2 linked regions of the Drosophila melanogaster genome follow. The protein of the gene in region 2 interacts with the protein of the main gene of each other region in a pairwise test. Each region holds a gene or a part of one and is shown on either strand. Other genes may lie near its edges.

Region 1 (7,159 bases), on a different chromosome or scaffold from region 2:
GTGGTTGGCCATTTCGATGTTTCATAATGTAACCTGCGCATATCAACAGGTTATTGACCGCCAATCCGCTGGGGATGGCATGTGGTATGGGCCAGGGGTTTACCACCACCACTTGCGGCCCGGGAAGCAGTCGCGTCTGCAGACCCACGAGACCGCTTTTGGCCATCTCTGGGTCTCGCTTCTCGGGGGTTGTGCGTCGACTGAGTATCTCGCATAGCCACAAGGAAGTTTGAGATACAGATACAGATGGCTCGGGCCAAGATCAGTCTGTCTATAGGCTAGACTTGTGGACAAACCAGGCGATGCCAGCTCAGCTCAACTTAGCTTAGCTCACTTCGCTGGAAGGCTAATGAGTTACAACCTGTCCGCGACGATCTCGAGTAAACATATTTTTATAAAAACGAGCGTATATTATATAAGCGAATTAAGTACGTGACTTTGACAACTCCCGCAAAGGCTTTTTGGAATATTTGCGCACTAAGCCATAAATAAATTGCTGTTTTGCTGAATTTGCAATTTTGACTGGGTTATATATTTAATTGTGCCAGGGCCTGGACCATAAAATCCCGACCGAGTTATTCGAATCAGATAACGTGCTCCTGACGCAGAGTGGCTTCCACTGGCGGAGGGGTGGGCACAAAGGAACCGATTCGTTCAATTAATCGCTGCCCCACTCAAGTACACATCTGAGCAAATGCACACCCAGGGGGGTGCTGAGGTGGTGCGATGGTATCCACTGCAATTCGCAGTTTGCACACGTTTGTGTGGCCCCACTGAGTGGGTAACGGTAATTGGTAATGTGAGCCAACCCGCCAACAACCCAACTCTCCAACTTTGGCCCCTCCGAGTCCGCCGATCCGATATATCCAATGCATTATGCAAACGGCGTAAAATTGTAAAACCCAAAGCAGAGCCAATGCAAATGAAGCTCTTGCTAGATTTTGAAGCAGATCAAGGGTGTATACAAATACATATATATATATATATACATATATCTAGAAGGAGGCTACAGACTCGATACTGGATCCCCTAGTGAAGTAACCCAGTTCCCCATTTCTTTTTATTTCTTTGTTCTGCTGTTTGCTCGTCGACTCTTCGATTGTTTGGCTGTCTGTCGGGAGAGGTGCTAAGTCGTGACCAATGCCGGATTCGGAAATTTCAGGGAGCTTCTGCTCTGTATCACCACCACTAAATTAGCATCGGAGCTGAAGCGATCCACTTGACGTCACCGACGACCAGAGAAATCCCACAAATCTCAGATGCAGATGTGTCACCGCAGTAGAACATTCGGCGCTAATTAAAAGTCCATTCGACGCTTCGCTGGCCACGGAGAATAGACAATGAGCTGTTGCTTTGGCCGCTGAACCGTAAACCCATACTCATACCCAGCCCATCCGAACTGGGGCACATGAACCAGATGGCAGCCATCCAATCTCGCCCTGGGAGGCAGTTGCTCAACCCGCGGGCCGCGCTGTCGAAATGCATTTCGTTTGTGCAACGAAAGTGCAATCATCTCCCGGCTGACACACACGCACCTTGCGAAATCCCCCCATTGAGAGCACCAGGCTTCAGCTCCACCTCTGCCCTGCGTTACCCAAGAGACCTGGTCGAAGTATGATTGCTTCGAACTTTCTTTTTTCTTTTTTTTTCTAATATCACCGACATATGTTCTCCGATTTTCGTTTATGACAAATCAATACCATATTCGGCTGGTGAACAGAGAAGCGATGATCTGCTTTCTAATTTCTATAACTTGATTCTTAAACACAAGACGCCATTAAAATAACCACCAATTTTGTTACTTTGCAGATGTCCCACCTCTACTCAACATTCGCTCAATTGGTAAGCGTGCACTGCAAGTCAACAGCCGCCGTCGGAGGCCTCCCAGTGAACCAGTGCAAGCACAACCTGCTCGGTTACGGGTCCGCCAAGCTGCAGACGCTCTCCGACGTACAGCTGGAGGCACTAGATCCGTATCAGCGCGATGCCAACGAGCTGAGTAAGTGCCTCTATCTGCGTGGGAGAATGATTGATTTCCGCGTCAGAACTTCCGCAGTGCGCAGTCGCGACGTGCTCGACGTGAGCTCTAAATCTCGGTGTCGATCTAATCGCTCTTTTCTTCCGCAGTCTGGTCATCGATTATGGGGGACCATCCGAGCGGAGCCAGCCTGGTGACAACGAGGCAGCCGCTCCAACAGCCCCTGCCAACTCCTCCTGCGTCCTCTCTGATCATCCTAACGCGCCAGCAACTTCCGCACGGAGCATCCCATGCCCACCCCATCCAGAGCTCCGGCTCCGCCACCAATCCAATCTTCGAGAGCGGCGAGCAGAAGCACAAATACGCCATGGACATGGACAAGGCCTACGGCTACGGGCCGCAGTCCAGCAGTGAGCTCCCAATGGCCGCCGCACTGACTTCAGAACCGTCCAAAAGATTCCTCACCGGACCTTTGGTGATCCGGGTGCGACCCGATGGCTCCCCGGTGGAGGAGGACAAGATGATGCCACTGCCGCGGGACGAAGACCTGCCCTACTTTCATCTTGGTCTGGCCGCCGCTCAGCCCAACAGGCACCGCAAGATCGCCACAATCAGCTCCTTAAAGCAGCAGCACTTCGCCTCTATCCTGCAGAGCGACCTCCAGCCACCCCACCAGACGCAGAGGCGTCTGTTCCGCCAGCAACAGGCGTAAGATCGCGGTCAGAGGATCCGCAGGCCTAGACCTAAGTCCTTGTGTGAATGTGATAGAGCAGATGAGGAGATCCTGCATCATAGAGTGCGAGAGTGAACGTGTGAGTCTTCTAGTTGTAGCCGTTTGAGGAGTTTTCTTGAATGCACTTGAGCTTTAATGGAATTTCGTATCGTATTCGTTTAAGTTTTTTTAATTTTATTTATTCGCGTGCATTAGTCGTAAGATCACATAGAGATTCTTGAGTAATAAACCGCATGATGATTATCATTGTTACGAACGTATTAATTCTAAAATGTGTGGATTGGGATGGAAATGAGGATGGGGATGCGGTCTGTGCACATAGCCAGGAACCGGTTGGTTATGGTAATACGAAAGTCGCATCTCGGCCAGCCACCAGTTCCTTGTCGCGAGCTCCACTCACACCTATATTTAACACGCGAAAGCCTTATTAACCCACATCTACAGAGTTGAGCCGAACAATGGAGGTACTGAATCCGGTTTGGCGGGTTCAGAACGCACTGCGCCGTCCATTAGAATTTGCGAGTTTTGGCAATTACATTTCGGTGTAATTTCGCTGGCAACTGGTTTGTCAGGCTCAGGCCTTTAGGACGCGCCCATTAATCTCAGCTGAGCAACAAAGGAAGGTAAATTGGGATGCACGTCACTGGGCTTGAATAAATGATGCCGGGACTTTCCACCGCCCTTGCAGTGCAAACTGCACTTCATATGCACGAGTTTTGGGCGTGTAATCAGTTTTATTGAAATTAGCTGCTTTTAAATTTAGATAGACGAGCTCGCCGATTGTCGATAACATTTCCGATTATGACAATATGACAATCAATGACACAAAAAAAGGCACATTTGAAACGATTGCGGTCACACTGGTCTAAGTTGTTTGGTAAATTAGTTAAAAGTAAATATTACTCCGAAAACAATTTTATTTCCTTAAAGCTTGTCAGCAAAGCAAAACGAGATAAGGAACGCAGTAGTATATAAGGTATATATGCAATAAACATGACAATTGCTTATTCCATTGTGACGCGTCGATGTAATTCCCACGCCTAATGAATCATTGCCCTAAAACTCATTTATTATACATTTATCCTTACTATTGCCGATATCAAATTAATCGATTTGGCTAATACTTTGCCGTCTAGTTTTCGAAAGAGGGGAATTCCCTCACCTGCGTTCACAGTCGTAAAATCTGATTATTAATACCCGCCATTGCTACCGCGACAACGGAGACATGTCGGACGAAGAGTCATTCGTTATCTTGGGTAGCTCGCCGTGCTCCTCGCTCATGCCGGACAGTTCCTTGCGGTCCGACGTATGTGGTAACGCGCAGGAGGCGAAGGAAACCGTTGCCTCTACGAGCACTCAGCCGCCAACAGTGAACTGTATTCCAGTCAGCATCACTGCATCGCAGCAGCAGCACAAATCGCTGGATTCCGGATCTTCCCAGCAACAATCCCTGGCGACCAGCTTCATTATGGGAGAAATTCAATCCGATGTCCTGAAGGTGAGCGTCTGGTTACCGTCTGGTCTGTTTAAATTCTAACAACAGTCTCTAAATCCAACCACAGAACAGTGTTTATTCGCAGTTTCCCAGCCTCTGCTCGTTGCAGGGCTCCGCAGAGGAAGTAGTTAAGCTGCAGAACATGATGACCGAGTACCTCGCGCTAAAGAGTGAGCATTTTTTTCCCGTAAAGTAATATACAGCAATAATATGCCATTATCCGGCCAGGCACACTTGACAAGGTCAACCAAACCATGCTGAACTACCACAACCTGACTCAACAATGGCGCCAGGAAGCCGCCGACCGAGAACACCAGTACAAGGAGCATGTGAAAGAGTGCCAAGCGCAAATCGCGATCCTTCGCGTGGAAAACCAAGAGCTGAAGAGGGACCTAGAGACGAAAATCGAGCAGATTGAAGGGGTTCATACCATCAGGCTAAAGGAGCAGGATGAGCTTCGTAAGAGCGTATCTGAGAAACAGTCCCTGATCGACAACATGCGCGTGGAGATTGACAAACTGAAACAGCTAAATGTATGTCTACCAGTTGCTCCAAGCGATAGGGCAAATACTTGCATACAGACTCGCAATCATTGCTATTCTGCATTGTAAACTGGACAGTATCTCTTTAAAATATTCTCTTCCGGGCTCGCACCCTTTTTCTTCTGTTATTTCAGCACTCGTTTGAGTTCGTACCAGAGTATGCAACCGAATCAAAATCCCAGGAGCTGATAAAGAAAATGCAGCTGGATATTAACGAGCTGAAGGCCAGGGACATCCAGAAGCAGGAGGTGATCAAAGGTCTACAGATCCAAAACGATATCTACCGCAGGGACTTTGAAATGGAGCGGGCAGATCGCGAGAAGAATGCCGGAGAGAAAGATCAGTATCTTATGGACTTGCGATCATTGCAGAGGAGGAACCAGGAGCTTATCGAAGCTCTGGCCGAGTCCCACAAGGCAAGCAAGGCGTGCTCGACCGCTTCTCCGCTGAGTTCAAGCAGAAGCAATTTGCGAGAGGAGCAGAGACCAGTAAGAGTACGCTGATTCCAAAGTCCATAAATGTCAATACTAATTTTTGTATCGGTAGATTCTCGACCCAACAGGCGCCTCATCCCGGACTTCAGACACCACTTTGCGATGTCCGATCTGTTCAAAGTCCTTTAACGCCTTAAGCGTGCTTCAGAGTCACGTTAACGATTGTTTGGATAAAAACTAAGCACAATTTCTTACCATATTAATAAATTTATATATATATATATATTTTCTTTTTTTACAATATCTTGTTTAATCTTAAAAGCCTGGCTAACCGGCCATATTATATAAAAACACTAATTACAGTTTCGTTAACAATGAACAATGCACGAGTCTCCTCAGAGTTTGCTGCGAATGGGGGGCATTTCCAGAGACCACACGCGGTGTACATCTGGACTGGCTACCAGGTTGCTAAGCACATTTAAGTCTGCAAAGAATTAAGATAAGCTAGAAACCATCGATTCGACATTCTGCTCACCGTTGGTGCGTGCAAACTGCTGCAACGTGTTGCGGATATCACAAATTGGAATGGCTGTATTTATGTTTGGGTAGACGACGTCGTCTAATTTAATGTTGGACACACAAACGCCTAGGATGCATCCATTCTGGTCGAACATCGGTCCTCCACTTTGGCCCGCCTGCACGCTGCCATCGGACATAATGGCCCCGGTGTCGCACTTGATGACCCTCCCTTGAAAAATCGAAGGGTTGAAGTCGTGCCTGAAGCTGAAGTTAACGTAGTAGGGAAACCCGGCGTTGTACACCATTTGCCCGACGGTGGCCGGACTCCTGGCCAGTCGCACGCAGCATTGCTCCGGCACATCCTGCGGAGCTGTGAGTAGAGCCAAGTCGAAGGGCTTATCGCTGTCCGGATTGCACCAAATCACCTCAGACTGGAACTCGCGATCGGCAGCACGGCAATTAACAGTCTCAATGTTCTGCGTGAAAGACATTATTTAGTGCGCCAAGGTTTCGGGCAGCCCATGCTTGCATACCTGTCCCACCACATGTGCACAAGTGAGGATAAAGCGCTTGTTGTGTACTCTTATGAAGGTCCCGGTACCTTGTTGACCCGCCGACTCTATGACCACAATGGTGCGCTCCCCTAGAACGGTGTGTAGTTACTATAAGAACAACGTGGAATTAGTCTTAACTTACAGGCAAAGCTCGACGGCTCTCGACTCAGCTGGAATGCTGTAGTAGACATGCCCAGTTGTTCCATAAAGTTGCGCAAAAGGTAGCCAAAGTTTGCGGCCAGAGTGAGGTTGACGTTTTCGTGATGGCGTTGAAATGAGGTGCATATCACAATGCCAACGAGCCGCCTGATAAACGGAAATTTTTGGTATATTACGGTTTTGTAACGTATTCATCACCTACAGCTTGTTGTTGAACACTGCAGAGCCTTCACAGCCCAGGGGCAAAGCGTTTGAAATGGCAAACAAGCAGCCACTTCGTCCCATAACATTAGACACCTTTCCAATGCTGATGGTCTTGTAAAAGTTCTCCAGGCCAAAGGGCGAGCACATGACCAGCACGTCGTCCAAAGTGTGCATGGGCTGCAGGTATCGCAAGTAGTTAGCGATGTGCGCGAGGAAGCGCTTGAAGGACTTCTCCTTTTCGGGCTTCCGCAGGCCCAGCACCACGAAACTGGAGCGCAGCACCTCACCCGCATCGCCGGAGTCAGCGGTGAGTAGTATGTGGTGCAGGTTGCGGCAAACTTCGTTCGCACAAAACACGTACAGCGGATGGGCAGTGAAGCGGGAGAGGATGTGTGGTTGCCTCGACCCAGGTGCTGCGATTGGCCTCGGCCGTCGTTGCTGCGGATCGAAGGTGGCCACAAAATGTAGTGAGCGGATCTGCGCATCCTCTTCCTGCTCCTCATTCTGAACATCCAGCAGTTGACCCCTCTGCAATCTGGCA
Region 2 (9,346 bases):
ATATCAATTAGGTTATGGTATCTTAACTCATTTACCTACAGTAAAAACAAAAAAGATTTTTAATAATTTTTTTGTTTGAATGCATGAAAAGCGGCAAAAATATGTATGAATTGTTATTCCGCCGGATAAACTTAAATCCAAAATTCAAAGCGATCAATTTAAATATATGTAGTGATTGGTTTGTTATTGAAAGCATGACAAAGTAAATTACTCTCTTACTTGAATCTCTGATTTCAAACAGTGCTTCTTTTCGCTACAGATCTTTCGACTGACCGGCTTAAGTTCGGCTCGAAATCCGCCTTTTGGATCCAGATCTCCATCAAGAACATTAACTAAATAGTTTATGTACAATATGGCCAACTTCAATGTTTTAATCTGTCAAGTAAACCAAGCAAACGGACACAAACAAACTTCAAATTTATAAATAATTGAATAAGTTATTATAAAATATATTTTTCGCTGGCTATTTTATCTTAATTCTTAAACAAAGTAAAAGTAGAATATAGTTAAGATTGACTTAAGTAGGAAACATTAAAATCCAACCTTCATGTGCTTATTGGTGTATTTAAGTATTAAATTCAAGATTATCTATCCGTCGGTGAAGTTACCTTTGATAATTTAGTATCTGTAGGAACGTTGGGAATCTTTTCTCGCAGATAGGAAAACGCATTGTTTATACTTTGGGTTCGCCTTCTCTCCTTTTTGTTAGCTGTATTACGTTTCTTAACAATCCGAGTATTCGAAGTTGGCACATAACCTAGGTGACTTGTGTTATATATTTGTTGCTGAACTTGACTTTCGGAGTCTGAAATATTTGGAAAATATATACATTATTTTCCATACACACGAAAATATAAAATAAAAGTCGCTTTTGTACTGGAATTGGTACCACAAATCACTGTCCCAATTTTATTTAAATAACAGCGAAGTAAGAAGAATGATTTAAACATTTACGTTTCATGTCGAACATGTTGGAAGTATTATAAATTGAGTTATAATACATGGTTGAGTATTCGCACGTCAAGGCAACGGAATTCTTAAACATTTTCTAATTTAACGTAATTAAATTCAAATCAAATTCGCGGCTTAAGATCGACATTTTCGCAGATAGTGCGTCGCACGTAAAACTCGTCTTTGATGTCTGGCAAGTAACTGAAAAACTTTTTCACTTGTTTAGTGAATGTGCGCCGTCGAGTGAACAACATCTGGATATCCTCCCTCCAAATCCACCAATCGCAATCGCCGACGTTTTGCGTCGACCAATGGTGGGCACTTCAAGATTTATATGTATGTATGTACTCCCGTGTATACATACATCCATATATATCCGGAATATGAACTGCCTTTCATGGTCTAGTGATCCGTAGTTCTCTAGATGGTTCAGTCCTGTTTCTGGAGTCACCTTGAAAACTTCTCCTAACAAAAAGCACTTCCTAATTGTTACAAACTTTTTGTAAAAAAAATATAAGCTACTTGGTATATTAGTTATAGAAAACCACCTATCTTTATTTTTTCCTGTTATATATGTAAAGCCTACCCATATTAATATCATAAAACATATTTTTCAACAAACCAATAACCATTAATAGGCACAAAATCCATTTCACATGTGATTTTTACAAAAATTTTATTGCATTCATTTAATTTATTGATAAATTTGCTCTAATGGTACATCATTATATCTGTGCTTTGGTACAGACACATATAGGCATCGCAAAAAATACGCTTGGCGTGTTCAGGTAATACTTTATCGTTCGTTGAAGTTTCATTTATAGATCGTGCGCCTTCTTCCGAGAGCCACTGTGTTAATTCTGGAACACACGTAATTTCAGGTATATTGTATCCATTCTGTTCGCCTGAAATAACATTTGCGTAAGTATAAGAAACTTGTTAGGTTAAAACTAAGATTTTGCTTGCCTTTTCGATCAGCCATTGAATCGAAGAAACACCATGGAGCATCTGGTCCGGATCCAGACTTGACAAATGCCACGTAGTGAGATGTTTCTATGCAAACGACTGCAAATAACTCCATGTACAATCGCGGGACAACCATGTGCTCGGCCATGATTTTAAATTCCTTCGGACTATAAATCTTCTTCGACACATGATTCGTTCTGAAAGATAGGTTTTTAATTGGTTTTCATTCATTTATCTATGAAGATAGCTGACCTTTTGATGTGACTGTGAAATGTCTTGAGACATTTTGGACAAAAGGCGGTGCATTCCAGTCCTGATCCAGCCTGCAAGCTGCCAAAGCAATCCCGGCACTCGTATTCAGCTAGTTTGCCACAAAGTGAGCACTGTCGAGGAGCTGCAAGTTGAATTTTGTTAAGATTCGAAATGCAAATTGTTATATTGTTGAACACCTACAATTTTCAATTATGTCTGTGACATCAAGAACCTGCGATGGCAATATCCTTGGATACATCTTGTAGTTCTTTCCGAAACGAGGCATTTGAATGATGAAACAAGAAGGAACCTCCTTTAGTTTTATATCCGATGAGTGAAAGCTTTGCTCAAACAATTGTTGCACACTCGGTAATGTTAACTTCTCATCCTTCTCCACAAAGAGTTGGTAAAAATAAGAATCTTGCCCCGAGCTTAGCTACAAAAAAAAAAAAAAAAAAAAAACATGTAAATTATTTAGTATAAAAATCTATGCAATAATGAGTACAATAAGCACCTTTAGAAACGGTTCAACTCGCATTATTTGTGAGAGCAAACTATTTAGGAACTCTTCAGGATCCTTTTCCTCGCAGGTGAGACCGCTGACCGAACTTAGCTGATCTAGGAGCTCGCGCAGTTTCATCACACGATCGGATCGAACGAAAACGTTTTTTCGCAATGGATTGACGATCTCATCGCGCAGAACCTTTTGAACCTCACTGTAATTTCGAATATCCTGTTGAAAATAAAATAATTTGTTATTGGTGAGCTGGGCAGACAAATCGAATAACTTACTTGTGGGCCCGGACGTCTGTACAGAATTGAATCGAAAACACTGGTGAAAGTGAACATGGAAAATAGAGTTGCATCAAGGTAGCAGGAATTATGGTGTCCTTGTATTCCTTTGAACTTTCCACATATGCTAGCAAGCTCATCGGAATTGTGTATTTCTGGAAAACAAATAGCTGCATGAACTCCTTTCCTTTATTAAATGTTTATTGTTATCTTACGTAATGGTGGTATCGAGCCATATATGGCAGGACAGTCAGCGACGCCAAATTTCTTTGCGTGATTACTAGAAACTCTGTTTGCAGAAATGCTATTATCTACATCAGCAAATCGCCGGTCAGCGGTGCATCTGTTGGCTGGTACAAAAATAGCTCGACCATCATGGCAAGTAAATAAGCTAAAACAAAACACAACACAGAAGATATTTTTCAGTTAAGAGTTTTTCTTGTATGAGTACCTATTTATGTGTTTTAAATGTTTAAAAGTATGACATACCGTACGCCATTGTGTCTCCCATCCGATGCCACTACATTTTTCAAGTTGGATTCGTCTTCTACCTCGATTCCGACGAGTACGTTTTTTTGCGGGCCAGGCGGTATACCTATCCATCTCACAACGCCATATAGATCTTCACATACTCCAGGATTCGAGACTTCGACGAGGGAACCAATCGCTAGCTCGGTTCCAGGTATTTCAATCAGAGGTTGATAATCAGCGATTGTAAAACCTAGGACAAGAATAAAATTAAAATAAATTTTAATTTCTTAGAAAATCAAATTAAAAAAAGCGGAACGATTTCATAATAGATCATACCAAGTTCTTCGGGCAATAAATTTGGTGAATAAAATTCTAGCACTGTTAATGGAATATTATTGTGGATATCCGAGTCAGAAGACAATTTTTGTTGGTATATATTCATTTTTGAAAGACGCACAGCACAATTTTAATTTCTTTACTAATTTTTATGTTTTTTTTTTTTTCAGCAATTGAGAACTTTGATAAAGTGCAGAACAAATAAAACTCCTCGACAAACTGCATATATCAACTCAGAGAACTGCCGTTTTACGTGAACGTAAATAGAATATATGTATGTGTCGTTATGTATTTGGCCGGCGTTCTATAAATAAATAGACGTTTTCATTTCGTTGTCTTTTGCAAGGAAGCAAAGTGAATACAAGTCTTACAACAACTGTAAAGTATCGAGAATAAAAGATTCAATAACAGTGAACGCTATATTCGAAAGAAGCGACTATTACATACCTGTTTACTCAGCTAAAAGAAGTGCGATACACTTGAAAATAGACAACCAGCACAAGGAGTGATGTAGCAGGCAGAATTTGAATGTCTTTTGCAAGCAGTACAGAAGACTGCTTGAGTAATTCCACTAACTAGAACTAGCTTTTACAGTTCCTGAGATCTCGTTATTTATATGGACGGACAAACAGGATTAAGATTAAGAGAGCTAGTAAACCTGACCAAGAATGTAGCAGGTCGGAACAGATTCCTTCCTTAGTTCTTAATAATGATATATTTCTTTTCTTTTTGAAGAAATGACAGTAAAATAAACTTACGTAAAGGTTCCTCCGGCTCTATTTTTAATATGGGTGAGGCTGGTTTTAAAATTAAGTCTACAGAATTACTAGGATCCGTTTTACTTTTGTTGTTTAAGATCATTGCAGCTGGTCCCGCTCGTTTTGGCCAATTTGTGCCCAAAATGTCTGCCAAATCCACATCCTCAAGATGTTGATTATCGACGGCACTATGGTTGGCATCGGTGTTTCTAAAAATCGCTCATTATTAGCTTTAAATGAATTGAAACAGTTTTACTACGTACTTTAAAATTCCGTTTTTTCTGTTAGGAATCTTTTTCGGGTATACATGGGTCTTGTGCTCGCTCTCGTTGGATAGTTCATAGTTTTCCAGGGAGTCCCCGAATCTATTTGTTATGGTCAGCTTTTTTTCTTTTTCTGCTTCATAATCGGATTTGGAATTCATTATTTCCAACTAAAGGCTATAATAACATTTGTATTAGTAATTAAATAAAAAGGATATACAAAATGTATTGGTCATAAGTGTTTTTTTATGAAAAATTTTAAAGAGCATGCTATATATTTGGCAGAGAGTATTCTACAGTCGAGTTAAAACTGTTAAACGAAATAATCAATGATACTCGATGTGACGGATTCTGTTTGTAACTGCTTAGTTTGCAGTCGCTTACATACATATGTACATATGCACGTAAGTATGTAAGAGACATCAGGTTGCTGTAACAGTAGTTCAATAAACATTCCATTGTTTTTACGCTAATTTCAATCTTGCATTAAATATTTATTTGCCAAGGAGGACTGCACAGAACAAGTAACAGGAAATACATGCATAACAAACACAATTCGTTAGCAACTTTTCCCTAATTGATAAAAACAATGACACACAACAATCGCGACTACATTGGTTTAATAATATTGCTGTTCGCTGAAATACCAAATGACCAATTAAGTTTTTAGCGCAACCCTGTTTGAGTTTTAATACAAACACACATAAATTGAACTAACAAATAAAAAGGTGTTTATATCCTGGATTTTTGTTTAGTATTTATAAAATTTGTGTCTTTTAGAATGCGATTGGAATGAATTCTGGATATCGTTATCGATTTTACCGCAATCGACAATTGTTGGGGGTAATCTTGAACCAAAAAAATACAATACAGTCAAAAAAACAAAGTAATAACGGTTTAAAAACGGTTTTATTATATAGAATATGTAACAGTATATTGCGATTTGTTTGTCGTTGCTTGTTAGGCTTAGTATGTTTTATTGCTTATGAATTTTATCATAAACTTTTAACAACAACAAAATAAACAATTTTATATATTCTAATATGCATTATATTTTATATTAAGCAACTTATTTTTTAGCATTTTTTTTATTGTGGGGAAAAAGTCTTTTAAAAGTCTGTCAGGTATATAATAATTCTCTGAATAGGATTATTTACGCTAAACATTTGATTAGATTATCACTTTTGAGCACCTTCTGCTGAAGCGGATTGGATTGGCAGTTCCACATGTATAGGACTTTGAAAGGCCATTGGTTGGAGTTGTACAAACTGAAATGGTATGGAGAATGGCATACCGCGATAGGCATTAGCCGATTCCTGTGGACTTAGGTCTACGTTGGAGCTATTGACAAAGTCTGGAGCAGAGTTGGCGGTCTCCAAATCCTTTCCCGTGATATTGAAAGGAGTAGGGGGACCGACGAGTTTCAGGGAAACCCCATCCCGTCCAGGAGAAGTCGATTCAATGCTAGTTTTGGGTACGTATTCCTGGTTATACTGCGAATCAAAACTACTTTTTGTTACGTAATCGTGCTTAAATTGAGGATCAATACTACTTTTCGTCACGTAATCGTGCTTAAATTGAGGATCAATACTACTTTTCGTCACGTAATCGTGCTTAAATTGAGGATCAATACTACTTTTCGTCACGTACTCGTTTTTAAACTGCTGATCGAGATTAGTTTTCGTTGCGTAATCGTGCTTTAACTGTGTGGGCACGGAGCTTTGATAGTCCTCCATCCTCGGAGGATGATCCAATTCCCTAGATTTGTATATCCTGTTGTAGTAGTTTGAGGATGGTAGGCTGGATGGTTCGTGTTCTCTGGGCGGTGGATGATCCATTTCCATGTTAAATTTGAACTCCTCGCCGCGTGGATAACTTTCGTAGAGTGATGATGACTCGAACTTATATGGCTCGCTGGAACGAATGTAAACGGGAACCTTTCGTTCTACCTCAACCTTATAGGGCACTGGTACCTTCTTCTCGAGATGAACTGGCACCTTTATTTCGACCGGATACGGAACAGTCCGGAGCACTGGATACGGTTTCGGTACGTGGACTATTTTCTCAATTATCTTTTCGACCACATATGGTTTGGGCACTTGGACTGGCTTTGGGATGTGAATCACCTTTTCCACTATCTTTTCGATAGGCACGTGCACTATTTTCTCAACTGTAACATTCACCAGCTTGGGCACATGTACGATCTTCTCGACAATTTTCTCAATGGGCACATGGACGACCTTTTCCACGGGATACGGTTGTGGTACTGTTTTGATCAGCTCCTTTATGTGGTTGTGATGATGGTGGTGATGATGATGCTTGATTTTCACCTTCATCCGCTTCGCATCCTTCTTACTCGAGTGCTCGACATGTTCGTGCAGAATCGCTTGTGTTCCGACCTGTTCGGATGCCTGGTATTGACCATCGTCCTCATCGATATGCTCGTGGATCTCTTCGAATGTATGATAATGCCTACTTTCCGTACTCTCATCCGCATAATTGGGACTCACATTTTTTCTTCGAGCACCAGATGGCTTATATTTCAGTTTATTCCTCGTCATTTTATCGCCTTGCTTTTGATAGTTTTTCACACCGCGTTTCAAAGTCACATTGCGTTCGGTTTCCCGATTATAATGTTGCAGATCCAGCTTTTCCGATCTTCTTCCGGTATTGTGAGTAGATCCTTTTCCGTATTCAGGATAGCTCCACTCGGCACTTTCGACACTATTGGTTTTATTCACAGCATAGGAATTACTGTGTGCAGTACTTCCAATAATTATTAAGGTTATGAATAGGTATCCAGGAATCAAAGTTAACTGAAATAGAAAGGATGCGCGTAAATGAAGTATGTACATACAAAATATCTCCTATCAAAAAGACAAATTGGAAATATAGCTTACCATTGGGTTCATTTTTTGTTAAGTATATAGTCTCGCTTGGATTTGAAGTGGTTTAATCAACGCCTTCAACAGAAATGATTTGAGCCAATCGAAGAAAGTATTTATATGAGCACGAAACATAATTAAAATGTGCAGAAGCAAATTTCTTCGCTTGAAGTTTGTACACTCTATATTTTTCTTAAATTAAGAAATTATACAAAAACATCAAGAACTAATTTGTTTTGGTTTGATTATTTAAAATGTATGCATGTTTTTATTCATTTTTAATTAGATATACAAATGTGTAGCTTTGAAATGCCGTCAGAAATAAACGACCTTTTTAAAAGAGAATAAAACTGCACAAGTTTACTTATATTTTTTTTTACGATTGAAAGCCCACGGTCGCGTGACGCAAGTTGTGTGTGTGTTTGAAGAAGTGTACAAGTGCAATATCTTTATAAATGTTTGAAATTTCTCTAGGTGAATATTTCACAGAAGCCCGTAAATGTAATAATTAAAGTGCATTGAGCTCCGCTTTACGGAAATGCTATGGATTGTGTAATTTCCTGCAGTATCCGTTGCTGTTTTCAAGACTACCAAAACTACGTTTTCCGGATACCCATTTTGGAATGCAGAGAACAGGGTTAATTAACACATAACATTGGAGCTCCTCTCGAAAGGCAAATAAAAAGTTTATTATACAAATTTAAGTTGGATATATCGGGAGCTTGAATAAACAATGGTCAGCTTAATCTAATTCGATTCTATTCTCTAAGAATAGGCTGCTCGTGTGCATCTTTGATTCCTTAATTTTTAAGTGCGAGCCCAGCAAATCGTCCATGGTGATGCGGACGTTGTTGCGATCAAGCGCTGTAGCTGACGGATCTCTGGACGTGATGAGCTGCCTCATTCGGTAAACTGAAGCATTCCGGCACATTTCCCGCAGGTCTGAGCCCGAGAAGCCATTTGTGAGCTTGGACAAGCGATTCAAGTCGACATCCTGACTTACTTCCTCCGATTGGAGGATCAGCTTCAGGATGTCTTTTCGTTGGGTCTCCGAGGGCAGACCAATGTGGAATTGGGCTGGCATGCGGCGCACAATGGCCTTGTCTAAATCCTGCGGCCTGTTCGTGGCACCCATCACAATCACCGTCGAGTTGGCGTTCGTGCTGAGGCCATCCCACAGCATCATAAACTGGGTCTTCATCATGGCGGTAGCCTCGTGGTCGTTCATGTTTCGAGATCGCAAAAATGAGTCTATTTCGTCAATAAAAATAATGCATGGCTCGATTCGCGATGCAAGCGAGAAGACAGCAGAAGTCAATTTCTGGGATTCCCCGTACCACTTGTCGGTAAGAATGGCGACGTCCAAGTTGATAAAGCGCATTCCCGCCTCTTTTGCCGTCGCCTTCGCTATCAGCGTCTTTCCACAGCCCGGTGGTCCATGGAGCAGGACGCCTTTGGGCGCCTGCCACAGCTTCGAATGCTTGAAGAGATCCTTGTGCTGGATTGGCAGCACCACCGATTCCCGGAGCTCCTGAATGACTGAATCCAGACCGGCGATATCGGCCCAACTGACTGTTATGTCGGCGGGAACAACAAGATGTGACGCAATCATAAGCTCGTAGTCGCTAAACTCTTGCCCTCTTAGCTTGAAGCCCTCCTGCTCGGCTAGCCT

The links. The genes of interacting proteins can lie anywhere in the genome.
Region 1: the proteins of CYLD (region 2) and key interact in a two-hybrid assay, tested with the Drosophila melanogaster proteins (one study listed by BioGRID).

Annotation. Positions count from the first base shown.
Region 1 is NT_033778.4:24,783,819-24,790,977, reverse strand, and holds key (kenny), read left to right. Parts: upstream 1-3,566; 5' UTR 3,567-3,687; intron 3,688-3,847; 5' UTR 3,848-3,936; coding exon 3,937-4,209; intron 4,210-4,273; coding exon 4,274-4,376; intron 4,377-4,434; coding exon 4,435-4,739; intron 4,740-4,882; coding exon 4,883-5,242; intron 5,243-5,294; coding exon 5,295-5,423; 3' UTR 5,424-5,464; downstream 5,465-7,159. Other genes in the region: Reg-5 (rhythmically expressed gene 5), read left to right, coding at 1,810-1,999, 2,128-2,690; CG3589 (uncharacterized protein), read right to left, coding at 5,578-5,666, 5,718-6,177, 6,235-6,344, 6,398-6,561, 6,617-7,159.
Region 2 is NT_033779.5:10,294,255-10,303,600, forward strand, and holds CYLD (cylindromatosis), read right to left. Parts: upstream 5,594-9,346; 5' UTR 5,493-5,593; intron 4,967-5,492; 5' UTR 4,951-4,966; coding exon 4,790-4,950; intron 4,736-4,789; coding exon 4,527-4,735; intron 4,160-4,526; exon of another isoform or gene 3,875-4,159; coding exon of another isoform or gene 3,769-3,874; exon of another isoform or gene 3,724-3,768; intron 3,683-3,723; coding exon 3,451-3,682; intron 3,353-3,450; coding exon 3,177-3,352; intron 3,117-3,176; coding exon 2,962-3,116; intron 2,903-2,961; coding exon 2,684-2,902; intron 2,606-2,683; coding exon 2,371-2,605; intron 2,312-2,370; coding exon 2,170-2,311; intron 2,115-2,169; coding exon 1,918-2,114; intron 1,857-1,917; coding exon 1,663-1,856; 3' UTR 1,605-1,662; downstream 1-1,604. Other genes in the region: hand, read right to left, coding at 220-375, 609-805, 955-1,045; CG13138 (uncharacterized protein), read right to left, coding at 5,968-7,605, 7,690-7,701; nmd (no mitochondrial derivative), read right to left, coding at 8,417-9,344.